3 linked regions of the Drosophila melanogaster genome follow. The protein of the gene in region 2 interacts with the protein of the main gene of each other region in a pairwise test. Each region holds a gene or a part of one and is shown on either strand. Other genes may lie near its edges.

Region 1 (8,853 bases), on a different chromosome or scaffold from region 2:
AATCACCTTTCTCCGATTGGAAAAAATTTGCAAATCGGGGTCACCATGTCAATTAAACTGGCATTTTATTCGCATTGCTAGGGATAGTTAGCATCTAGGTATTATCAAGCGTCTGCTTGCGTTTTGGTTCAGGCTCTGCTTCCTATCTCTTTCGCTGCCCGACTCTCCCTCCCTTTCGCACGCGGCTAATTCCAGCACGCGTCTATGACGAAATGTGCCTGGAAAATGCCTGTTTCTCGGCACTCGGATGCTTCGATTCCGATTCCCCTTGCCACCTGTCAGCCGTCAGCGGCGGCTTAACAGCTTAAATTGTGAGTTGCTGGGGTTTGGGGGAATGCTCCACATTGTCAGCGGCCTCGACACCTTGGAAATGCGACAAAGGAGGAGCCAGGGACTTTAGTCCAACATAATTTGCTCCAAGTATTTCGGAGTCTGCATGTGTGAGACGTATTTATTTTTAAGGGCACTGCACAACCAAACAGGAACTTTGGTCAATCATATAGTTGTACTTACTTTATTTAAATACAAATATCAAGTGTGATATTTTACCAAAGTTTAATAGTTGCATCAACTATTTCATTTATTTAATTTAAAAATCAGAAGAGCTACTTTTAAACATATTTTTTCGAGCCATAACCGATCATTATACCTTAAGATAATAGCCCTTGAAGATAAGGCTTTATATCGAATATCTTTTGCTTTGCTGACTAGTGTAATCATCGTGCTCGACTGGCTCGCTGTTGACAATGTCGTTTGTCGCTGATATCTGGACGGCAGGTGCAAACAGGCGCATTGCTGGAATTGCGTTTTAATTGTCTCCTCGCCACGCGGTTCCTGATGGCCTAAGCTTCTGGAGAATCGGCCAGAATGATGATGATTCTCTCCAGCGGCAGCAGAATGGGAAGCTGCGGATCAACTGGCTTTGGTTAATCTCCCGGAGCTCTTGCCGCAGGCTTTTCATCTGATTTGTGCCTGTCAGCTTGTGTCAAGGCGATTGAGTGTTGTCGCACAGCCCAAGGAAATAAATACGAGCCTAAGTGACGAATGGTAAAGGGCGAAGATTTCCATACACTACTTCATTCAAAAATATAAATGACATTAGAAGAGGCTATAAAAAAGCTCGTAGTAATGTGTACAAAAGTATGCTAAAATATTTCTACAATCCGAAGGACCTCCAAAAGAGGTTCTCCATACATTTAACTAAATAGTAAAGTAAATTTGCACATACATGATAGGCGAAGTACTCGTCGGAAGGGTATATTAGAAAACCGAAGAAAACGAGAAGAAAAGTGCAAGTTGTGTAAATGAGAGCGTGACAAGATTTCCCGCTTTTCTTGCTTTCATTTCCCCCGTTTTCGCGACGGCTGCTGACAAGTTCGTAGGGCCTTGTTATTTTTAAAGAAAACAACATCGAAGTATTCCATACCGAACTCGAAATGACTCCGTCTCCGATTCTTCTGCCCGGCGGAAGATTTGCGGTGGCGTATTTATAGATGCCCATCGAGACGTTTGGACCGTTTTCACAGTTGGCTTCATTCACTGCCCTCCAATGCTCCTGCTCCTGCTCCTGCTCCAGGCCAATTGGAAAACAAATCTCCTGGCCTGCACGGCAATAAATTTGTTTGCTTTAAATAATGTACTAAGAAAGTTTCGTGCTCAAGCACACCGTGTAATTTTTTCAAGTGTGGGAAGTGGCTCATTTCATCCGATTCCATTCTTTATGTGTGATTTGTTTGGATGCGTCTGGTGCAGACACGAGCATTAACATCCACATTGCAACAGCATTTTCCCACTTAATTGCAACGAGCGGCGCAGAAATAGCACACAAACACGGAATCGGAATCGGGATCGGGATCGGGGTAGGGATTGGGATCTGGATCTACGAAGAGGGGAATGGAGATGCTAGGCGCTCTTGGTATCAGTTGGATTCATCTGTCCAACTGCAATCCATCTGCCCGATGATCTCTTTATTTTGTACCCATGATGGCATTTGTAAAGATTGTCTTTCAATTGATCAATTAATAGAAGACGATCTTGTGCAGCATTCTTTAGAAAGTCTACCCAGAATATTCGATTCAATCACATCGATTTTCTTTTATTATCACCTATCTAACGTAAAGTCCATGAGGTCCTTGGTTAAAATGTAGTTAATAGGATGTATCGGTGTATTGCCCAGTGTGTACAGTATAGCATTCCTAATTCCTACTATATCTATAACTATATCTATATCTATATCTATATCTATATCTATATCTATATCTATATCTATATCTATATCTATATCTATATCTATATCTATATATGTATATGTATATGTATATGTATCTGTATATGTGTATATGTATATGTATATGTATATCTATATATGTATATCTATATCTATAACTATAGCTACATATGTATATCTATATCTATAACTATAGCTACATATGTATATCTATATCTATATCTATTAAGTCCCATGGCGTTATGTCGATATTTCGTTGTCCTCCTACGCCTTTCCCGCGAAAAGGGCGTCGGTCTTGAGTTGTGGTTTTCCCTTCTTCTTCAGTCCCACAAGCAGCTGCTTCAGCTGAATGATGGCTCTAGCCGGATTGAGGTGCTTGGGGCACGTGTTGGTGCAGTTCATGATCGAGTGGCAGCGGTATAGCTTCCAGGGGTCCTTGAGAAAGTCCAGTCGCTGCTCGGTGGCCTCGTCCCTGCAAAGCAAATCTTAGCACACTGGGGAAACTGGCAGCAACATGGCCTCACTCACCTGGAATCAATGACCCAGCGATAGGCCTGCATGAGGACGGCGGGACCCAGATACTTATTGCTGTTCCACCAGTATGATGGACAGGAGGTCTGGCAGCAGGCGCACAGGATGCACTCGTACAGCCCGTCCAGCACCAGACGATCGTCCACGGACTGCAGATACTGTGCCGTTCCAGCTTCCCGCTTCAGATCCTTGCGCTGCAGCCACGGCTGGATGGAGCGGTACTGATCGTAGAACTGGCTCATGTCCGGCACCAAATCCCGCACCACATACAGGTGCGGCAGTGGATAGATGCGGCAGCACTTGCTCTCATTCTGGTCGATGGACGACACGCAGGCCAAGGTGTTTGTTCCATTGATGTTCATCGCGCAGGAGCCGCAGATGCCCTCGCGACAGGAGCGCCTAAAGGTCAGCGTGGGGTCCATCTCGTTCTTGATCTTGATCAGGGCATCCAGCACCATGGCGCCGCACTGCTCCAGGTCCACCTCGTAGGTCTGCGTCTGCGGCTGATCCCCGGGCTTCCAGCGGTAGATCTCGAAGGTCTTCAATCGCGGCTTCTTCGCTTTCACTGGGGGTGCAGATTTAGCAGGCGGAGGAGGTGGTGGAGGTGGAGGCGTTGCTGGTGCGTTGCCCGAAGCTGGCTTTCCGGTGGACGCTCCTCCGGGCTTGGCGGATCCGGCGGCGGCGGCAGCTGCTCCTCCAGGCTTGGCGGCTCCGGCGGGGGCTGCTCCTCCGGGCTTGGCGGCTCCGGCGGGGGCTGCTCCTCCCGGCTTGGCGGCTCCGGCGGGGGCTGCTCCTCCGGAGTACTGTCGTTTTGTGGCGATTCCTCCGGCGGCTGATCCTCCGGTGGCTGATCCTCTGAGCCCTCTTCCTCCTTTAATGAATATAGAAATTTCAGTTAAGCATATCAATAAGTGCAGGTGTCATTTATGAAATGTCATTATGACAAAGTCATTGACAACCCAGAAAATTGTGGAATCAGAAAACTTTTCACTTAGAACTAACCTGCTCCTTGTCCACCTCCTTGGAGGCTGGAGTGGGTGCACCGGGGTACCAGGGATACGGCGGATACTGGGGTGGCGGCAGCCAGCGCTGGTCCGGGTATCGATAGGGTGGACATAGGCGCCGCAGGACGGGAAACGGGTTCGGACACATCCCTGTTGGCCAACACGTAATTTCTAAACAGCCACGTGCTCCGTTTATTCAGCAGCCGAGGCTGCCGGCGCAACAAATTCATCGGTTTTCGAGCGAATGAATGAGACTTTAAGTTAAAATGTGTACTTATAAAAATATATGTGTTTTTTTTTTTTTTTTGTTGAGAGAGAATGTGTGCCGAGGCGATGAGGTGTTGAGGTGTTGAGGTGTTGAAGTGTCGAACTGTGTAGCAAAACTGAGGAGAAGCCGGTGAAGTGCCCGTAATACGACTTGACACTAGAGGCATAGCCAGCTGGATTTGAAAATCTTTTCGAAATGAAAAGTTCAGTTTAACTGAGTAGTAGAACAGGCTGCTTTATACAATGTTTTGGATGCGTGGAATTTAAATCAACTAAAGAGAGTTCCTCGACTATAAGATACCCGTTACTCAGCTAGTGGATGTGAGAACGCGAAATTTTATCATTTTCTGGGCAAATCGATAGAAATTTACAAGATTAATAAAAATGCGAAAAAAGATCAACAAACTTGCGCTACGTCTTTGTCTCTAGAATCTGTATGCTGGATCTCAACCTTCTAGGTACGGACATGGCGGACAGACGGACATGACTAGATCGACTCCTGATCAAGAATATATATACTGTACATGGTCGGAAACGCCTTCTTCTGACTGCTACATACTTTTCAACAAATTTAGGGTACCCTTTTACTCTTCGAGTAACGGGTATAAAAATGGATAACAAGTCAGATTTGAATCCCCGTTGCTGAACCGGTAAATTGATATAGAAATTGTAATTCAATCCAAAACCGAACTCATTTTAAGCAGAAATTGTTACAAAAATACAATATATTAATATAAATACAAGTATTAATTAATATTATTAATTTTAATAATATTTTTAATGTTAAATTAATATTTATTTATAGTTAAAGGCACTTAATTATTTAATTATATTTTATTATAATAATGTGATACAATAATAAACAATATTTTCAAACTTATACCGATCGATATGTACCGCCGTGCTGACTGTAATCGATGGTCGCGATGCCCTGCCAATCGACTATCGATAACAACAAACACGAAGATATAGAGGAAAATAGAGAAGAAGAAGAGTTAAAGAAAACGCCAACAAAATAGACAACAAGGCAAGTCCGCGCCTCCGAACAAGGACATTATACCACAAGACACGCTGCAACTAGTTATAAGCCGCATAGCCGTGCTGATTTTCGACCGGAGTACGAAAAGAAAGCAGCCAAAACGGAGGCGCGCAGGCTAGCGGAGATCGCGGCGATGGAGAAGAAGGCCAAGGAGTCGCTGCGCCGCTACAAGAAGGCCGCCCGTCACAGTGCGACGCACTCGAGCAGCTCGGACTCCACCTCGGACTCCGACAGCGGGAGCAGCTCGTACAGCAGCACGGACAGCGAGCAGGGCGTGGGCGGCGTCGGCGTGGGGGTGGGCGTACCTGGTGGCGCCGGTGGTCCCGGCGGCAGTGGCAGCGTCCACGGTCATCCCCATACCCACGGCCATGGGCATCATCCGCGCTCCGCGGAGCGTCATCATCGCAAAAAGAAGAGCTCACGGCGCGGCGGCAGCTCGTCCGGAGATGAACCATCGTCGTCGCGCCGCAAGCGAGACAAACGGGATCATGTGCAAAAGAAGCTGGTGGCCAAGCGAAATCATATCAAACGGAAACTGAAGGAAGCGCGCCTTAAGAAACGGGCGGCCGCCGCCCTCAGTGGTCACGTCCATCGTTCCCTGTCGCCGACGACGCGAGCCAAGCTAAAGAAGCTGGCCGAGCGAAAGAGGCTACGGGCTGCCAGCAAGGAGCAACGGGAGCGGGACAAGCTGCGCGTCGTCCAACGAGACAGAGAGCGAGACCATCATCGATTGGGCAGCAGTAGGAGTCCGCCGAGCAGCAGCACTACCACCACCACCAAGATTCGCATCCATCAGGACATCGTGGGTAAGCGGCAAAAGAGTCCAGGTAACTATCAGATACTACATATAGTTATGTCTAGGCTCAACCCACTAACCCATTAATTTTGCTTGACTTTAAGGTTTAGGTTCTGGTCTTGGAGGCGGCAGCAGCAGCTCATCCTCGCGAATGCATCACCAACTGATGTCGCGAGAGAAGATCATCATCCAGACCCGCGCACGTGGACGTACTCCGTCCCTGGAACGGGAGCGGGAAAGGGAGCGCGAGCGAGAACGAGAAAGAGAGCGCGAACGCCACGATCTCTCATTGCGGGAGCGAGATCGTCGGGATCGGGAGCGCGAGCGTGCGGAACGGGAGGCAGCCAGGGATAAGGAGCGCGCTGAGGCCTTGGCTCGCTGCCAAGAACGTCAACGGGAGCGGGAACGCTTGGCTCGCGAAAAGTTGCGTCGTCAGGAGGAAGAGGAAGGTGGTAAACGCGGTGGTCCCGGTCGAGACTTGGATCTTCCGCCGTATGGCAGCCGGGAGCGATCGCTGGACACCGTCGAAAGGGAACGAGAGCGCGAACGGAGCGGGCGTCATGTCCGCGATAAGCGCGAGTTGGATCCCTACGAGCGTGAGCAAGAGTATCTGGAGGAACGACACGGCCACGGGCTGATCGACGAGATGCGAAGGTATCGGCGCAGGGACCTCAGTCCCATGCCTGAGCATTATGCACCCAGACTGCGGGATCCGCGGGAACTGTACTCCGAGGAGGAGCGGGAGAGGTAGGTTTAGGTTCTGCACTTAACTATTCCACGAAAAGCTGAAACTGTACCATTTTGGTTACTTTTTTCTGTTACCTAGAACATAGTTAACTAGGTAGCAGAACGGGAACCTTTTCTCATTAATGTTTATGGCCACGAAATCGGCATTAGCTAATCCGCTGTTTGGGAATTCCTTATTTTAGAGCCTACAAACGCGCCTATCTAGATGCCCGCTATTCCTCGCGGGAACGAGAAGCCTGGCTGGAGGCACGCGAGTTGCGGGAACGAGAGCTGCAAGGACGCGAGTACCGTGACCTCGAAACGGAAGACACCCTCTATCCGGACGAGCGGGAACGTCTAATCCGGGACAGGGAGCGTGATCGGGAACGAGAACGTGACCGCGAAAGGGAACGTAATATTGGACCCCGTGGCGACTTCCGACCGGAGTGGGAACGCGAGTGGGAGGAGGAGGGAGCTGGTGGCGGCCCAGGCGGACCTAGTGGAACCCCTGGGCGACCGGGTGGCTTTGTTGGCGGACCCAAGCGGGGCAAACCCCCAGCTCATGCGGGCGGAGGACCTCCCTCGCAGCAGCAGCACCATTCTGCTTCGGAGCCCGACTGGGATGCGGACGAGCGGGAGCGAGAGCGGGAACGAGAGCGCGATCGGGAACGCGAACGCGATCGTGAGGATCGACCGGACACAGGAGGCGGAGGCGCTGGCGGCGATAGGCCATCTATCAAAAACGAGCCCGCTTGGTTGGAGCACGATCAGCGGGAAAAGCCACGCGGCTGGCAACAGCAGTCGTCCAATTCTGGAGGTGATTGGCGGGATAACGATGACGCGCCGCCAGCACCATCGCATCCGCATCCAGCTTCACCGCACCACCATGTGCATCCGAGGGGCGAACGAGGATCCGGCAGAGGATTCCGGCGCGGAGGCCACGGTCATGGCGATCACGGCGAGCGGCCCGGTTACCGATCGCATCCGCCACCGCTGATGACGTTGCCGGTGCAACCGCCTGGTGGTTACTCACGCGGATTTCCCCATAAGAGATTGCCTTATGGATCTGGCCGAGATGGCGCCGCACTGGGCGCCCGTGACGGCGGACTGCCCGGATCGTCGACTTTCCTCAAGAAGCACACGCACGCACCGCTGGTCTCGCCGACGCAGACACCACTCCTGAATCCACTCCTCAACGCGGCCAAACCAAATGCTGCCGCACAGGCGAGTGCTGTGGCGGCGGCCACCACAGCAGTGGCAGCGGCTAAGGCTGCGGCCCAAAGCGCCGCCAACGCCACCACCAATCCCGGAATACTGGCTCAGGTGCGATTGATTTTCGTTTACTTCGCTGCAGAGACATCGGATGCGGCCTATCATATCATTTGGCGGCAATGATTTCGTCTTTGTTTATAATTATATAAATGTGTTTATGTTAGCTGAGTGCAACGTTCATCCATTCGAAATCAATTGTTCACCAACCGTTGTGCAATAACGTAGTCATTTTGTCCAGCGGAAATGGTAAAACCATAACTTTCCATTAGTAATAAATTTCTCTTATTGTAATCCTCATTCGATGTTTAAGGTAAGCAAACTAAATACCGTGTGCATCAAGCAGGAAGATGCGTCCGAGGACTCCGCAGGCACACCTGAACTGGGCGCCCAAGATTCGCCGACCCAGAGCCTGAACCTGAATCAGTCGCTGTCTTCCGAGGGCAATCCAGTTAAACAGGAGCTAATCCGCACCAGCGCCGTCGAGGGTGAGCTGAGCGAGATTAGCGACAGCGATGACGATATTCTCAATAAGACGGACAAGGTGCGGCCCAAGAACGAGCTGCCCACGGAGACGGAGCAGGAAATGGACACCAATGCGGATGAGGTCAAAAGCGAGGCACTCCACATTGTGGCTGGGCATCCGATCAAGGGCGAGGAAGGGGACGAGGTGCTGGACTTTGAGGAAATATCCGATGGCGAACTCGAGGAGGATGCACGCCACAAGGGTGAGTCACTCATGTATAAACATTTTTCCTTATCCGATGACAACATGGTAGTCACAATGCTTGTCAATACTTGACTCGGACTCGGATTTATGGTCACATTTATTTGATTAGTATTCAATGGTCAGGTGGAAATGATGAATGATTACAGTTAGAGGCGATAGTTATATGTAATTTCCCATCTCCCATTCCGCAGGCATTGGCGATGCTTTGGGCGTGGACTGGCAAGGATTGATAGCAGAGACCCGTCAGCAGGCCAGCGATGCTCA
Region 2 (8,005 bases):
ATTTGCTACTGTGCGCTCGTCGATTTCTGGATAACAACTTAGTTCACTACTTTTTATAAATTAAGCTGGGCTTGTGTTTAACTGATTTTCTACGAAACAATCCTCGAAAGACCAAAAAACGCACGCAAGAGAGCACGAGAAAAATGGTGCGATTTTTTCCCCTGCCTGCAAACACACACACACACGCTTATACATGGACAGAGACGGAGTAAGACCGTATAGAAAAACGAGGGAAATACTCTAGGCTGATTTAATGCTGATTACTGGTAAAAGAAAAATGGGATAATTTAATTAGCTTTTCCCGTTTATTTTAAACAGATACTTATATACTTGTGCTAAAGACAGAACTTACCTAAAGCCCTCTTTACATAAAAGATGTTTAAACATAATTATGAAATAAAAATACTGTTTAAAATACTGTTGCTGGCGAAACCAATTAGCCGGTAAATTTGTTTATCTACTCTTTAAAACTGTATAGGCCCACGGTAATATCTTTCGCGTTTAACTGATAATTTGTTTTTATAATATTATAAATTTTATCTTATTTATTGGTCCTGGATCCAAGGATTTCTCGGCAATTGGTATAGACATTTACACTTCACATTGTCTAAATTTGTAACTTATTCAACAACTGTGTACCATGCAATATATTTTGCTCTAATTTATTTAGTGTATAAAACCTTTTCAATATTTTAATTATAATTACGTTCGACACTGTTTTTGCGGCTGATTTGGGACTAAAAAACGAATCTGCCCAGTTCTAGGGTGACCATACAAAAACCTCTAATGAAATACCGAATTCTGAAATACCGCATCTGCAACACGTGCGAGTTTAGCTCTCTCTCCAACAAGTAAATAAATTTTATATTATATGCGATTTGTACAGGGAAACATCATGCCAGGAAAGTTGGTAAGATTGTCTAGATCTTTATGGAAACTATTTGGCCTATAACATACTTTGTTTAGGTGGGCTCTCCGAAGGGAGCTGCTCGAACAGGTACCCAAGCAATTGCACATGCCGGGGATCACAGCGACCTTGATGAACCAAAACCCAAAATCGCCAAGAGCGACCCACCATCCACTGCCATACCAAAGAAGAACAACTTCAAGCAGAGAGAAGGTACCAAGAATGTAAAGCCGCCCACTTTGGAGGAGATGAAGGAGCTACGAGACACCCAAAATCTCTTCCACTCCAATCTCTTTAAGCTTCAAGTTAAGGAAATGCTGGAGGAGCTGCAGTTAAAGCAGAAATACACAGATTTCATTGAAAACTGGCTTGAATCCTTTACGGCCTTTACCCGACAGCTAAAGGATGGCTTGATGGAGCGTACCCACTTGGAAGTTCCAATGAAGCTTTCTGAAAAGCCGACCGGATTTGTTTTCTCCAAGCCCACCAGGGAACCTTATCTGATCGGAGCCGCCGCCACGGGCACTTTGCTGGGTCCCAAAATTGTAGTGGATGTGGCCCTGGAGATGCCAAAAGAATCCCTGCACAAAGAAGATTACCTAAACCTTCGCTATGACCAGAAGCGAGCTTTGTATCTTACTTATGTGACGGAGAGGATGATGGAGTCCCCAGATTATGCAGAAGATCAGTTTAATTTCAACTACTATGCTAACAACCCGCTTAAGCCGGTTCTGGAATTGATCCCAGTTACTAAGCAAGTAAACAAGCACCTGCAAGTGCGTCTGTTCATCACTGCCCCATTAAGCAGTTTTAAGCCAGGCAGATTTGTTCCCTGGAACAACAATATTCGGCCCTCGTTTTACGGTGACGAATGGGACGAGAAAGATCCGCTGCCCTCCACCCAACACTACAACGCAAACGTACTGTTTGATCTAACTTTGTCCGAGAACCAGGCTCAATTGGATAAGGCCTTTAAGAGCAGGCGTAATTTTCAGGACGGCCTGCTGCTCCTTAAAGTATGGTTGCGTCAGAGGCAACTGGACATAGGTTACAGTGGGTTTGGTGCCCACATCTTAGCCGCTTTTATTGTGTACCTAAATACGCAGCGCATTCTGCATCAGTCAAGCAGCAGTTACCAAGTGGCACGCACTGTATGGAACCAACTGGCGAACACGGACTGGACGAAAGGCATTAGCCTGTCTGTTGCTCCCATTCAAACGGAAGAATTAAACAAGTTTGCCGAACACTATGACGTTTGCTTTATAGACTTCACTGGACAGCATAATCTATGCGCAAATATTCCGCTTTACCTGTATCAGAGAGTTCGAGAGGAGGCCAAACTGGCGGTGGAACTACTGAACGACATGAAGCTAAACAGTTTCCCGCTTATCTTTATGCAAAAGTGTCCACTGTACAGCAGGGTGGATAATATCTTAAAGTATGTGAAGCTAAAATGTTAGTTTTTCAATTATAAACTTTATTTTTCCCCAGGATTTCCAATTATTCATGCATAAATCAAATGCTTACACTGCATTCGCATCCTCGAATTAAGTACGATTTTGCTAATTATGGTTACCCGCAGCTGCTACATTTACTGACTGAGTGAGTTAACTAAGCTAAACAGGCAACTTACAAAGAAATAATAATCATAACTTTAGGCTCCTTAAAAAGGGACTTGCTGAACGTGTCCACTCCATACTACCCTTAGAAACTGCGACAGCCGCCTGGCCTGTGGAAAAAAAAGCGCCCGTTATTGGGAAGTATATTCAACTGGGCCTTATACTTCAGCCAGAGCACGCATACCAGGTGTTAAACAAAGGACCTGCTGCCAACGATGATCATGAGGGAGCTGAGGAATTCCGACGGTTCTGGGGAGAGAAATCAAACCTACGTCGGTTTCAGGATGGCAGCATCACAGAAGCTGTGGTTTGGGGGACCGCCCAGGATTCACCCGCCAAGAAGCGACTAATTGTTCGCCAGATTGTGCTGCATCTATTGGAGCATCACCTACAACTGGACAGCAAGGAAGTACAATACATTGGCGGCGAGTTGGACCAAGTCTACCAGCTGTCTCCTTGGTTTAAGGTCAATAAGCTAAAGACCAAGCTGCCATTGGGTCAAGATACCGACGCAGAGGCACTTAGTCCGCACGTCATCCGCTGCTATGATGAGTTGGCACGCCAACTACACGGGCTGAATGATCTTCCTCTAGAGATAGTCTCCATATCAGGCGTCTCGCCCATTTTCCGCTACTGCGAGCCGCAGCCCGTTCTCCCACAGGCGCTTCTGGTAGAAAACCGCATCCTGGCAAGCAGCATTCAGCGTGTGGTAATCCAGCTCGGGCAAAGCGGCAAGTGGCCCACTGAACTTGGTGCACTGCGTGCTCTTAAAACTGCATTTCTTATCGAAATTGGCGAAAAGTTGGAAGCGCAGTGCCGGCTTCATTGGGTGATGTCCGCCGACGGTCTGCTCGTACTCAAGCAAGGTTACTGCTTCCTTATAGAGCTGGCACACAACAAGGAGCTGGCGCTGCTGAAGCAGGAAGTTACTGAGCGTGGCATAACTACATATATAGACAATGCAGCCAGTCGTTCCTTAGAGCGTCAACATTATATTCTACCCAAAGTAAGTGGGGCTCTACATTCGCTTCATCAAACTTACAGCGCATTTGGTTCCACTGTGCTGTTGGCCAAGCGCTGGCTGGCCACACAACTGCTGGACGATGGCTTGTGGCCTGATATGGCTACTGAGCTACTGGTGGCGCATCTCTTTCAGCAGCGGTATGCACCGCAGTCCATAGCGGCACCTCAAACTGGATTCATACGTTTCCTGCAGCTGCTTTCCCATAGCGATTTTAATGGCGAACTCTTCCTGCTAAACTTCAACAATAGCTGGCAGGGTAAGTTCTTTGTTACCACTCCATAATGTTATAAAATAATTCAACTTTACGTTCTCAAGAACAACAAATTGCCGATCTGGAGCACAACTACCGCAGCAACCGTCAAAGTTATCCTCCTTTGGCTGTGGCCACCTCTTACGATATGCAGCATGCCGGACGATTGTGGACCTCGGATCAGTCACCCAGTCAACGGGTGCTTGGACATGTGACGCGACTGGCCCGCCATGCGCTCGAGATTATTGAAACCAGCCTGATGTCGAAAGATCTGAGGTTTGTGCGGCCGGCCCAATTATTTCGAGCTTCCAACGAGGGATACGATCTGGTTATCCAATTTAAGCCAGATCTCGTGCCGAATTCCTTAAGCTACGATCTGGGGTCACCATTTGTTTCATTTAGCCAGCCAAACTTTAGCTTGCCCCGCGCAGGATCAGATTACATTGCTCGAATTGTGGGACTACTAAGAGTAAGATGTTATAAAGCAGCCAGCTTTGTATTTGAAAATTCTCATTTCCCTTCTTTTTTCCGCTAGTCTGCATACTCCGACTTTGCTGCGTTCTTTTACAATCCGCACGGAGGCAAGGAACTGGGCATTGTATGGCGGCCACCAACGGAATTCGCTGCAAAGCCATTTAAGGTCACAGAGCTGCAGGCATGCAGTCCTTGTGGTAATAAAAAGGTTCAAGTTCTCAAGGAAACACTGCTCGAGGACTTCAAACTCTTACTGAAAGATTTCTACCTGCGCATCGCCACACCAGAGGAGCTCAAACGGGAACAGCGCGAGCATCAGAAGCCCATGCGGTACTTTGATGCCAACAAGGCAGAGGAGGAGTCGAAGCCAAAGCCGAAAAAGCATAGGCAACGCAAGGGCACCGGGAAAAAAGCACTACCCAAAAGGAAACGCCTAATAAAAAGCTCAACCCTTAAGGTCTTGAAATAGTTATAGAAATATGTAGCTAAACCGTTACTAAGTTAAAAAAATAGCTTTAATTTTGGTTTAAAAAAAAATGGCATATAGCAGCATAAGAAATCGCGAAAAACGGTGATATAAAAACTATAGCATTACTGATGTTTACTTATGGACGCGTTTTGACTGAGCTCCTGCTGAAGTATTTCGTGATCAGGATTGAGATTCGTCCAACCCGTATGTTTGGAGACTGATGGCTTGGAGACTTGAGCTCGCGGATAGGGATTTTGGCCCAACGGTATCGTTCTATAGAAATGAGGTTCCACATGAGGTTCAAAGTTATTAACCTGGGTGCAGAGATCAAAGCGGATATGTCTAGATGTGCAAGGCTGCTCCTGTGGTGGTACGGGCGACTGAACTTGAGGTTGCATTGGTACTATCAACGTCTGATCCGTGCAGGTCGGTTGTGACTTACAGTGCTGACAGGTGCTTTCCACCGATGAAGTGTAATCACATTCAGCTGATGTGTAAGACTCTGCTGAGGTCGTTTCAAATAGGTCGCTATATGTACCGCACCCGGTGGAGTTTGTGTTGCGCTGAGCCTGGCATCTCGAGTTAGCGGGCTCGTTCTTCATATAGGTATTTTCACTGAGACAGCTCTGAGTTTGGCAACCCACATTCTGTGGAGCCTTCACAATAGAAGTTCTAGTTGGGGTGGCGGTGTCCTTCGTTTGGCAACTCGCATTCCGAGGCATCTCGCGCTCCACAGTTGTCTGCGTTTTGGCAAACATTTGAGTTTGACAGCTCGAGTGCTGCGTCTCGCACTTGGGGCAGTGCTGGCATCCAGTGTTTGTCATCAACCCGGATGTCGAGGTGCCGGCATCGTAGCAAAGTGGTAAACGGTGTTCAGATCCCGACTTTTTCTTTGACCAAACCAATTGAGTAGACACACTTGCAACTGTCTTCAGCGGGTTCGAGGTTTCCTGTAGAAAAAGACATGTATCATTGGTCGACTTTGCAGGGTTCACATCCTCTTCGATGTCCATTCGCATACAGACCCTTTTGTCAGAAGCATTGCGGAGAAGATCATCCAAAGTGCAGAAGTGCGTGGTGTTTGGCGGGGGGAAATAAACCGCACCTGGCGAAGAAGTATCCAAGGGAAGAAACTGCCCGTTGGGTCCTACACGACTGTAGCTTATCACTCGCGTGTCTTCCACACGACGAATGTCCTGCTGGGTGAGCACAATAATCTCATTGCCAACCATTATGGGAACTTACCGAAGAAAAGTTAGTCAATACTCTGCATATTACAATAATCAATATCGATGCTCACTGTGAACAGGTGGTGCCCCCTCCTCCGCTACCTGCATCACTTTTCTCGTGTTAAAATTGTTCGCCATTGCCAAAGATTACACAAATTTTGGAAAATATTATCAAATTCGATCTGAGAATTTAGCGTTTGAATACAATTTTTTCTATAAAACACCAAAGGAGAAAACGATATTTTGATTGGCCACAAATTTGACAATTTGACAATTTCGAAATTTTAAATTCAATAGTTAAATCCGTTTAATAAATAAACGAATTTTATTTATAATTATATTCTGGGTACTTTTCGTTTTTATTACCGTGCCAAAGATCACAATCACAAGTTAAAAAAAACTCATTGGCCCATGTTTATATTTTCTTAAGTTAAACAAACAGTTTGAATCATAAACTAATCCAATTTGAGGCAGCTTAAATAGAGGAATTATAATGTCGTCTTCCACAGTAATGTTGTCCCAGTCTTAAAGAAGCGATTATACGAAACTCAGAAAAATACTTCATTTTACATTCAAATTAATTCCTATTAAGCCGTACACTAAGCATTGTTTAAGGAAATGATTATGTTTCTTTTATATATATATATACTACAGTCCCAGCTTAAATTCGGCGTTCTCCGTGCCATTTTAACTACGTACGGATTCCTCCTTAACATTGGGCGTAATACTGGCCCCCGTCGTAACTGTGTCTTTGTCCTTGGTACCAAAATCCGGATACAGCTTGGCCACTTGACCCAACGGAGTGCAAAGGCGTCCCGAGAAATCCAATCGTTTGTTGGACTGGCTTCGCTCTGCTGAGGATATAATATCTAGCAGGGATCTGGGGACAAATATTGCGCGAATTAAGGACTCTATCAAGAAATACATACATACGACATACCTTTGCCCACAACTAGACATGCGACGCTTGCTCGCCTTGAGAAGGCTATTGGAGCTGCTGCTGCCACTAGCACCGACGCTACTGATGGGCTCCAGCCGTTCGGGAGAGAGTGGGGATTCCGTGTAGGTGCGCAGGAGACTTGCTCCAGGTTCCGACTTCAGCGGGGCATCGCCGTATGCGGCTCGCAAACTCTGTAGGCTTTCCAGCAGATTTTTATGGTGCATTGTGGTGGCATTTAGTTGAATTAATTGCTCCAGTTCCCTGTACAGCAAGCGGTACTGGTCTTTGGCCTTGGAAAGCTTTAGTCTGAAATGAGTTAATTAAATATAAAAAATTGAAAATATATAAAAGATATCTATAAATTGCTTACCTTGCTCCATTGGTGTGGGTAAATGGTAGGACATCGCCACGCGAGGCGCTTTTGTACAGCTCGTGAATGTGCTGCTGGCACCGCACCTCGTCCTGCTTATCCATGTCTTCCTTCACTAAAAGATGGAGAAAATGCGGAAGCCAACTGATGTGTCGCTGTAGATGGAACAGAATCGAAGAGCTGGTGGTCAGGGGGAAGTAGCGAGGCAACCGGCGCGTCAAGGGCGGAGCAGATGGATCCTTAACCTTGAGCGGAACCACGCGCGACATCTTGATCAGTTGACCAAGTTCGGCGGTGCGATAGTCCGAGACACGTCCTCCGGGGCCATCAGTAATTGATGGAGCCTCATCCATGCAGGAGCGCGTGATGCACAGGGAGTGCACAAAGATCTCGCCACCGCGTGCAGAAAGCATATGGCTGGTGGCCTTTGAGCCGGTCTTGCGCGGCATTTCCAGCAAGACTGAACGTCCGTTAAGCAGAAAGTTAATCAAGCAAGAACTGGGCCGCGAGGTGACGTCCACCGGTGTCACGAGGAACTGACCCAGACAGGGCTGTAGATCTGCAGAGCCGCAACCGCGCGGTGTGCACCACTTAAGAGTCACTGTTTCGTATGTGGCACCTTGCTTGATGCTCGTGGGTAGACTGAAATCTGGGCCACAGGTGATGGAGTGGGCCCTTCGGCTGTGCAGGATTTCCACATCGTAGTTGGCGCTGGAGTTGGCG
Region 3 (8,529 bases), about 10 Mb from region 2:
ATATAGCCATTCAAGCGAGTGCTCGGGTCACTGGGATAGCTGCGAGCAACTTCTGTATATTGTCGAAAGTTAAAATTTTTTGTCTTTATTTTTGTGTTTTCAAGAACATACCTGCCATGAGCTCCGATGTCTTGAGTTCGGTGGCGTTCTCATCCTTGACCACGCTGATTCCTGGCAAAACGTTTAGTTCCTCCTGTTCGGCAAGCTTTTCCATGATCTTGACAAACTCGATCTTGAGGCACATCCAACTGAAGGAAGATGCTTCACAGCCACTGAGAAGGCTCTCTGCCCTTTGGGGTATTCTAATGGTTTCCGGAGCAACTGCAGGCACTTCGGTGGGCTGGACACTGGCAGCCGTGGCATATTTGCACATGAAGGCGAATAAGGCCAAGTAAAAAAGATATTTCACGGTCTTGGTCAGCAACATCTTCGCTATCTACTGCAATGGAGACTGTTTGTGAGTCTGCATCATCTCGATTTGAAGGCCTTCGCTTTTATACCCGCTGCCACGGTTTCCATTCGCATTTCCCTTTCACCAAACCGTACTCCGTCCGTATTGGGGCCCTTGTGCTTTTCTAATTACTCAAACGATTTGTGGTCGAAATTCTTCCCAGCGTCAGTCAGCTGCGTCCAACTGGGCGGCACTTTCGCTTTCCTCTGCGCCAGCGGAGGTCGGTCTTGCGAAACGGCCGGCTAATTCTGTCACCAAAAGTTCCAGCCAATGAATTCCCCAAGAGTCCGAGAAGAAAACTCTCCCAGACTCGGGAGTTCAGGTAATTACAAGTGCCTGATAAACGTCGCGTGCCTCGGACCTTCATAAATTAAGACCCAACATTTTGCCTGCCTAACTGGGACTAACTAACAACTCATTGTTAATTATTACTTCATTTTCATTTGTGTCTGACCCAGCGTCGTTTCGCTACTTTCTTTCCTCGTATTGGCCATGAAGAAATTTATCTTTCCACGCCGAGAACGACCTGTTTAATATTCAGATTACATGCAGTGCTAATGACCAATTGGTTGGTCGACTTTTGATTTTCGCTTTTTGCCTAGCAGGTGTCTTATTTCCCAATCTGAGCTTATAGTGGGTGCTTGGAACGATTATGCAATCTACTAGACTACTACAGTGCTCACTTAAAAACAGTGTTTTTAATTTTATTAAAACATTTTTGTTGACAAAAATATTGTTTTCAACATACTCTTATATGCTTTTATACGTTGTATTTTTATTGTAAAGATAAGACAAGTTATTTCGGGCATAATAAAATGAATTTAAATAAATATTTATGTGAAGTATGTGACAATCTTTTGTGTGTTGATCCTTTTAATTTTTCTTATGAAGCTTATCCTGATGTACTCTGTGTCGTTGTGGTTGTAGTTGTGGTCCACTTGTTCCTGAATTTTTCTCCAAATCTTTCGAACAATTTGGTTCCATTGTTATTGAAAGGCGGGAATCGGAGCTGTCCAACATTTTCCACTTCCTCAACCACAGGGGCAGCTTCGATTGGCTGCTCGGTGTTCACAGCATCATCTTCAGTTATGAGGGGTTTTCCATCATCCTCGACAGGAAGTGCCCAGGCCAAGGATACCAAAAGGCCAACAATCAAGGCGAATTTAATCTGACAGCCAATGAGTTTGTTGCTTAAGCCGTTCATATTGATTCTGTTGACTTTTGGTCAGCATGAGTGGTGTTTTTATACCAACGCCAAGTGGGACATTTGATTAAACATCAATTAGGAAGTTGACGCAAAGAAAGCCACGGGCCCAAACTCAACTTTGCTAATATAATTAAGTGGAAATGTGTCTTCAATGGATTTGTTTTTGCAAGAGGTTCAAGGAAAGTGTTTAAGTAAAAGCCACTAATTTCACTTTCCAGCTTGATGCTCACACTCTTCCTAGTGATTTTTCAGAAAATACCTTTGAGACTCAATAAGGAAGCTTTGAGCCGGAAATTATACAAGTCATTGCCTTTTTAAAAGTATAATACCTGTACATTTCCAAAGTTTCCGACTCGGGCAAAAAGTTTAAAGATTCTATGGTTTTGCATTTGATGAATCATTTTTATTCAATTGCTTTAAGTTGTACGAATAAATACTTAGTAAGTAAGCTCTTTAGCAGGCATAATCTTCGTTGCTTTCGATGAACCTGAGTGACATGTACGACCGCCAAGAGACATGTGGATGGGGAAATGTGCAATAATTATGGCGCAATCATTGATTGGCCGTAGTATCCTTAAGCATTGTCCTTTGGGCTAGCCAAGAGTCGAGGGACCGTTTCAATAGTTCTCTTTTTTTGTGATTTTTTTTGGTATGTCGCAGCTAACTAACTAAATGTAACTAAATAATTATTGACTACGAATTAGGCCATTCTTCAGGAAAGTCTTAGAGGGATAGGTTGTGGAAATGGTGATGAAGTGGGGGGAAGTTGAAGAAGGGAGACGCTTTGGTAGGATAAGATATAGCAGGTGAAAGATAGAGGCTAGTACAGAGTGGGATGGATGGATCGGTGGGTGTTTTCCGGCTTAGAAGGGCTGGGCCAGACCATAGTGGTTGTAGGCCAGATCGGCGGCACCTGCCTGACCATTGCGGCTCCAGTCGGAGTGCACGATGTCGGCGTTCAGCGGGCTGCCGGTGATGTAGGCAGTGGTGATGTGTTCCTTCTTCTTGGCCAACAGATCCTTGAAGAAGGTGGCACCTGTGCGGGAAACGTGGGTAAAAAGTGCTATTCCTGAGATCATTAAAAGTAAACTCACCAGCCAGGATGAGGGCCAGGAAGGAGATGGCCAGAGCCTTCAGCGAGATGAACTTGATGATGGTGAACATAATCTTGACAACGACGGCCTTCTTCAGCTTCAGGGCCAAAAGAAGGGGCAGCAGCATCTTCTTCATGCGCTTGCTGCGGGACTCTGTTTATTCCGGGAGGGAGAAAGTAAAGAGAAATCGGGGTTTTAGCCATGCTCCTAAAAGTATTCAAGGCCTGGCAGTCGAGGTAAAGCTTTCACTTCGCTTCCCGTCAGCACAACTGAGTATGCTAGTAGTTTTGCTTTTGGCAGTTGGCTTTCTGCACAGCAGAGTGGACCTTAGTACGTTTAGCCTTAGTAAGTAGACTTTGAAGTGTTCGTTTACCGTACAGAACAGGAACGACTTGAGAGCCAGGACGGTTTACCAAAGCTATTCTCGTATGCGCACGAATGCCTCTGTTTTTGTAGTAATTAATAAAAATGTAACTTATAACTCGTTTAAAATTATTTCAAAATTCTTTGGCTATCAACTCACGTATTTACTACCATTCTATCGATTTATGTCTCTCAAAAACATACAAATTTTTAAATTCTGACCTAATATTAAGTATCTAAGATATTCAACGCAATATGAAAACTTTAAAAGCAAGTAGCTTAAATAGCTTTTTTTTCTTTGGATTAAACTATATTCTGTTTTTCAAATAAAGGAAACCAAGATCACTCACCATCCATGGCGCGTCCGGTGTACTCGTTCTCGGAGTTCTCGTCCTGCTCATCGCCGGAGAAGGAGAGGTTTAGCTCGTGGGTCTCCAGGTAGCGCTCGGCGCGGTCCTCGAAGGACTCGACGGCCTTGGATGCACCGAAGCTACGGCCCGACTCCGACCGGTCGATCCTCAGACCGCCGAACAGCGCGACGGACTCCTCGCTGTCTAAGCGGTTCAGCATGTTGACCAGGTCCCGCTCGGTGTTGTCCTGGGAGGGAAGGGCCATGGAACCGCACACAAGGCTGGCCAGCAGCACTACACATACGAATTTCGCGCACATTTTTATTAGCACTTGGGGGTGTCTTGACTTTGGGTAGGTTATAATCCGTGGGACGGCTGCCTGGAGCTGGTGAGTGCTGCCGATGTGAACGGGAATCGCTTTGTGATTAATTGAATGCACTGCCCCCGCGTTTTATACCATTTCGATTTGACGTCGATTGACCAATTTTGTGGCTAGAAATCGCGTGGCAGGCCAAAAATCCAAAACGCACCGCTCGCCGCTGCAATAACAATAACAATACCGAACGGCAATACCAAAAATCCAAAAGCAATTTATGCAAAGCATATGCGTATGCTACCTGGCCGGCAGTTTCTTGACCATATTTCCACGCACGTCGCGATGTCAACGAAAGGGAAGTGGCCAGTGGTCGGCCGGCTGAATATTATTTTTTTGTATATACCATACATATATTTTATATAAGCAAGTGGCCCGATTTCGGGTGCTCGACCGTTATCCGTATCCTAATTGGCATTCAATGGAGTCGCCGGTGCTACGTGTTGGGATTGCCTGCGCCAGATTCTTGGCCGGTTGTTCCTCTCCATTAGCTCCATCAGGGCTCACGATGGAGCGGAGAATATAGTGGTGGATCTGCGAGACCCACACGTATTTGGTATGCCCCGCCGGTGGTGACTTAATGCACAATTTGGCCCAGTTAGTTACTCTGGCGCTTTCAACGCTTTCGATTTCATTCTCCCTTTGTCAACTGTCGTTCGTGGCTTGTTTTCTATTTCAATTGCTTCTAAATCTGCCTGTGAAAGAAAGCTGAATTGTAGCACATCGCCGCATATATCTCTTTTCAATCGCAAAGTGACACTTTTATGAGCATAAGTAGAAAGTTTCTGGCAAACAATTAACATGCCGAACGGCCGTCACATGGCCACTAGAAACTCCAATTATGAGCAGGCCACCAACTTGCCAAAAACTAAATCCCCAGCTTATCAGCTCTTTTTCTCAACATTTTCTGTGTTCTTTTGGGTTTTTTTTTGTGTTCAGAAACAGAACCTGCCACAAGTTTTAATTGCCAGCCGCAAACTTGTTGCCGCCCAGCGAGCAAAGTTCCACATATTTGTTTTGGGGTCTGTCAGCATTTCAATTAAGCCCTGGGAAACTGGGAAAGTCTCTGGGCACAGGTGAGCACTGTCCACGTGCGTGGATTTGCGGATTATATTTTTTTCGGGTGCAATACTCTTGGTTTTATTCATACATTCGACTTGACTTGCGGGTGATGTGTGCGTGGTGTGTCAATAAATTAGTTAATTACATTTCGAATAAATTACTACAGGCTAAAGGTTTCAAAACGAAGGCACATCTGTTTGAGCTGTCTCCCAGCCGCTTCTACTGCTGCTGCTGGCCGGCGTAGGCCAATTGCTGGGCATCGGACCCATCCTCGCTGATGCTGCGGGCATAGGGATAGGACGAGGAGGCTCCCGAGCTCCAGCCGGCGCTGGCGGGTGCGGACCATGCGTTCGAGTTGTAGGCTCCGGCAAAGGAGTTACCTCCGAACTTGTTGCCGAATCCGCCCAGCAGGCGGGATCCGCCGACCAGAATGGCCAGGAAGAAGGCCAGCTTGGCCACGATCACGGCCTTGAAGGTCAGCAGGGCCAGAAACCCGAGCACCAGGGGAATGACGGCGAACAGCTTGGCGCCAATGGCCAGAGCCACGGGTCCCAGCATCTTCTTGATCTTGCCACGGCCTGTGATTGGATGTTAGGTAACCATGTTTTATCGTATCCCAAGTCAAAACCCACCTTCATCGAGGGCACGAGCCACCTGCTGGGTGGTCTCGGCGGGCAGCTTGAACTCCAGGTTGTGGGTGCTTAGGAAGTCGGCGGCACTAGAGACGGCCAGATCCACTAGACGACCAGTACGCTCATCGGCATTCTGGGGCAGCTCGGCATAGACATCCTGCTCGCTCATCGATTTTCCCGTGCGGGAAACGGGACTGGCGGGATCCCTAAAATGATATTGTAAGTTATAAATACATTTTCACATTTACTTAACTTTTATGACAACTTATATGCCGAATGCCTCTAATGTCTTATTATACCACTTTTAAATTTACTGTCATAATTTTTGGAATTATGTAAGAATTCCAATAATAATTAACATTAATTATGAAGTGTTTTTAGCCTTAGCCTTGGCTCACCATTTAAATCTATAAAGACCATAAAAAATGGGTATCAGAATATAACTATCTAATAACTAATTTCTCTAAACTTATTTTTAATTGCCTACATATCTTGATATCATAATTTCATTTTAAGTATCTTTCCTAGTCAACTTTTGTGATGCAATCACTACTTTAACTAACACGGATTGAAGATTTCATCTCGGGCACGTTCTTCTTTTGGTTACAGTTTCGCTTTCGATTTGGTTTTTGTTTCAAGAACCAGGCACTTTCACTGTTAAAAAACACACACCTCTGGAAGGTGACTCCACTGGCCAGCTCGATGTTGTTGCTCCTGGCGGCGCGGTTGAGTGCGGTGATGCCCTTGACGGCCAGGCAGGTGGCCATGTCGTCGCTCTCCAGACAGGCGCCCAGATACCGGGCGGCCCGGCCCAGGGTATTGTCGCCCTCGACCTGGTTGTCTTGAACACTGGGCGCGGCAAAGACGCAGCTGGCCGCCAAGAGGGTCACACAAGCGATGGCAAACACTTTCATTTTCGATCGATTGGTATTTAGACGCGGTTAATCCTTGCTAATATAGCTGATCCGGGGTTTCAATTCTGGGCTTCGGGCTGCTGCTTTTCTGAGGGAGCGCTGAGATGAGTTTGATGTATGCGTCTCCGGACATCTAGCCTTATATATTGGGCCTCTCGGTCGGCGTCGCAGTCGGTGCGCATTACAAAACAATTCAAAAGTAAATTAAATAAAGCCCGGCGAGAGACGGCGGAAGTTATGGCCAAGACGCGAAAAGAGCGAACTCCGAATTGGAGACAGGGCCCAAAAAAAGAGTCACAGACGCAGCCGCATAAATCTAGAGAACGGCGGGGAAACAAAGTCAACTTGTTTGTTAAGTGAACATGTTCATTTCGGTCTGCCTTTTTTTCGGCAGCGCCGCTCCGGCGACGTCGTCATCCGTCAACGTTGGCGTCGCGGAGAGAGAAACTCGTACTTGGACTTGGTCTTGGTCTTGGCCATTGGCCAAAAAGGGGCGCCCTGGAGTAAACAGTCGGCCCATTGGCTTAGGTCTGCACAGCGACAAAAATCAGCTGGCTTACATAACCGGGGTGGTCCACGGTATCACTTATAACTGCATTCCTTGGGCTGTCTTGAATCCTAAAAAGTCTCAGATTATTGAAACCAAAAAGTGGTGCTTTGGGTCCCCACGGACACGCCTTCAATGAAGCTGGGGCCCTGGTGTTTACCGGTGGTCTGAGCCCTCGGCTTCACGTTTGCGCCCAGCTTTCATCAGACTCTCGCAATGGCCAAGTCACATATTTGCTAATTTACTGACGCTTCTTAACCGATCCGGTTGCCGTATATTTCACGCAGCCCATTTATGAACGCAAAAATGTGTTTTTCTCTTTCTCCGGCATTAAATGGGTCAGTCTTATTTGCCGTAGTTGTTTTTTTATTGTTGGGATATGGTGAAATAGTGTTTAGCACTTCGATGATTGAACTGGACTGTGTGGCTAATGTGTCTATGTTGTAATAATTGAAAGTTAAAAGGGCTGTGTGGATGGAGAAGGAGGTCATTGAGAATTTATATAACAAGCTGAAAGGAATTTGCACTAACAGAATGATAAATAACCTTAGTGCAGGTGCTTAACACAGCATTTCCTTTATCTTGTATGTTATCGATTCGTAAAGGAGCTAATTTTTAAAGCACATACACACATATTCTGAGAATGAACAACAACCAAGGTAGGAATGTGAAATTAGTATATTTACATAAAACAAGATATTAAAAAAGGTAAGGAAAAAATTGCACTTCTTAGAATTCAATTCGATTTTTCCAGTTGACAAGGATAATTTCATTTGCATGCCTTCAGGCATATCAGTATTAATTCACTATCTATATCTCAAAAACAATTTCCAATGAAAACCTAAAGGAAGTGTGAGAATGGACAGGCAGAATTTGAACAGTTGCCTTCTTTGGAATTCTGCAAGCAACACGCAAATGTATTATATCTAAGACTAAATCTGCACTCAATTCCCCAAACGATATAGTTTCTCTAGCGACCTGAGACATTTATACAAAGCAAAGCCCATCAAATGGCAGTGTGAATTTTATGATTCATCCATTCAGACATCAAGCCATCCAGCCATCGATGATTTTCCCAGTCACGTTCTGCTATCGCGGCCTGCATTGTGTCCATTAATGTTGCTAGCCGAGTTTCTCTGCCGGCATTGCATCGTAAAATCTTGCGTTTCCAAAAGATCTCTATAAAATCGAAACAACTTCAATTTTTGGCAGCAACAAAATTTTGTATTTTTATTGTCCCGCAGCAGCTTATTAAAGGCAGTCCAGTCAGCGGAGGGGAAGAAACGGCCTCACTCACTTTCATTTATATTACAACGAAATGCGACACTAAATGTTGCCTGCCCTCAATGTTGTTGGCCGCCTTTTTGCTGCGCTATTGTTGTTTTTCCGTTGGTGTTTGTCTTGCTTATTGTTATTGTTATTGCCGGCTGATTGTTGCTGGGCATACCAGCCGCGGGCGTCGGCTTGTCACACGATGCGTATGAGTGACGCGCCTTTATTTTCGGTTATTGTTTTAGCCGCGTAAAACGGCCAAAA

The links.
Region 1: the proteins of Mst89B (region 2) and SdhBL interact in a two-hybrid assay, tested with the Drosophila melanogaster proteins (one large-scale study listed by BioGRID).
Region 3: the proteins of Mst89B (region 2) and Osi15 interact in a two-hybrid assay, tested with the Drosophila melanogaster proteins (one large-scale study listed by BioGRID).

What each region holds. Positions count from the first base shown.
Region 1 is NC_004354.4:18,889,801-18,898,653, reverse strand, and holds SdhBL (succinate dehydrogenase, subunit B (iron-sulfur)-like), read right to left. Parts: upstream 4,209-8,853; 5' UTR 3,993-4,208; coding exon 3,761-3,992; intron 3,630-3,760; coding exon 2,756-3,629; intron 2,700-2,755; coding exon 2,492-2,699; 3' UTR 2,073-2,491; downstream 1-2,072. Other genes in the region: Flacc (Fl(2)d-associated complex component), read left to right, coding at 5,202-5,895, 5,969-6,611, 6,794-7,913, 8,173-8,587, 8,781-8,853.
Region 2 is NT_033777.3:16,265,201-16,273,205, reverse strand, and holds Mst89B (Mst89B), read right to left. Parts: upstream 6,195-8,005; 5' UTR 6,111-6,194; coding exon 6,044-6,110; intron 5,984-6,043; coding exon 5,769-5,983; intron 5,694-5,768; coding exon 4,866-5,693; 3' UTR 4,773-4,865; downstream 1-4,772. Other genes in the region: Mat89Ba (maternal transcript 89Ba), read left to right, coding at 872-910, 967-2,345, 2,399-2,509, 2,566-3,806, 3,866-4,269, 4,336-4,743; asun (asunder), read right to left, coding at 6,660-6,852, 6,913-7,218, 7,283-8,005.
Region 3 is NT_033777.3:6,297,168-6,305,696, reverse strand, and holds Osi15 (osiris 15), read right to left. Parts: upstream 3,894-8,529; 5' UTR 3,785-3,893; coding exon 3,466-3,784; intron 2,906-3,465; coding exon 2,753-2,905; intron 2,695-2,752; coding exon 2,522-2,694; 3' UTR 2,044-2,521; downstream 1-2,043. Other genes in the region: Osi16 (osiris 16), read right to left, coding at 1-52, 112-427; CG46396 (uncharacterized protein), read right to left, coding at 1,344-1,655; Osi14 (osiris 14), read right to left, coding at 5,120-5,478, 5,533-5,738, 6,205-6,446.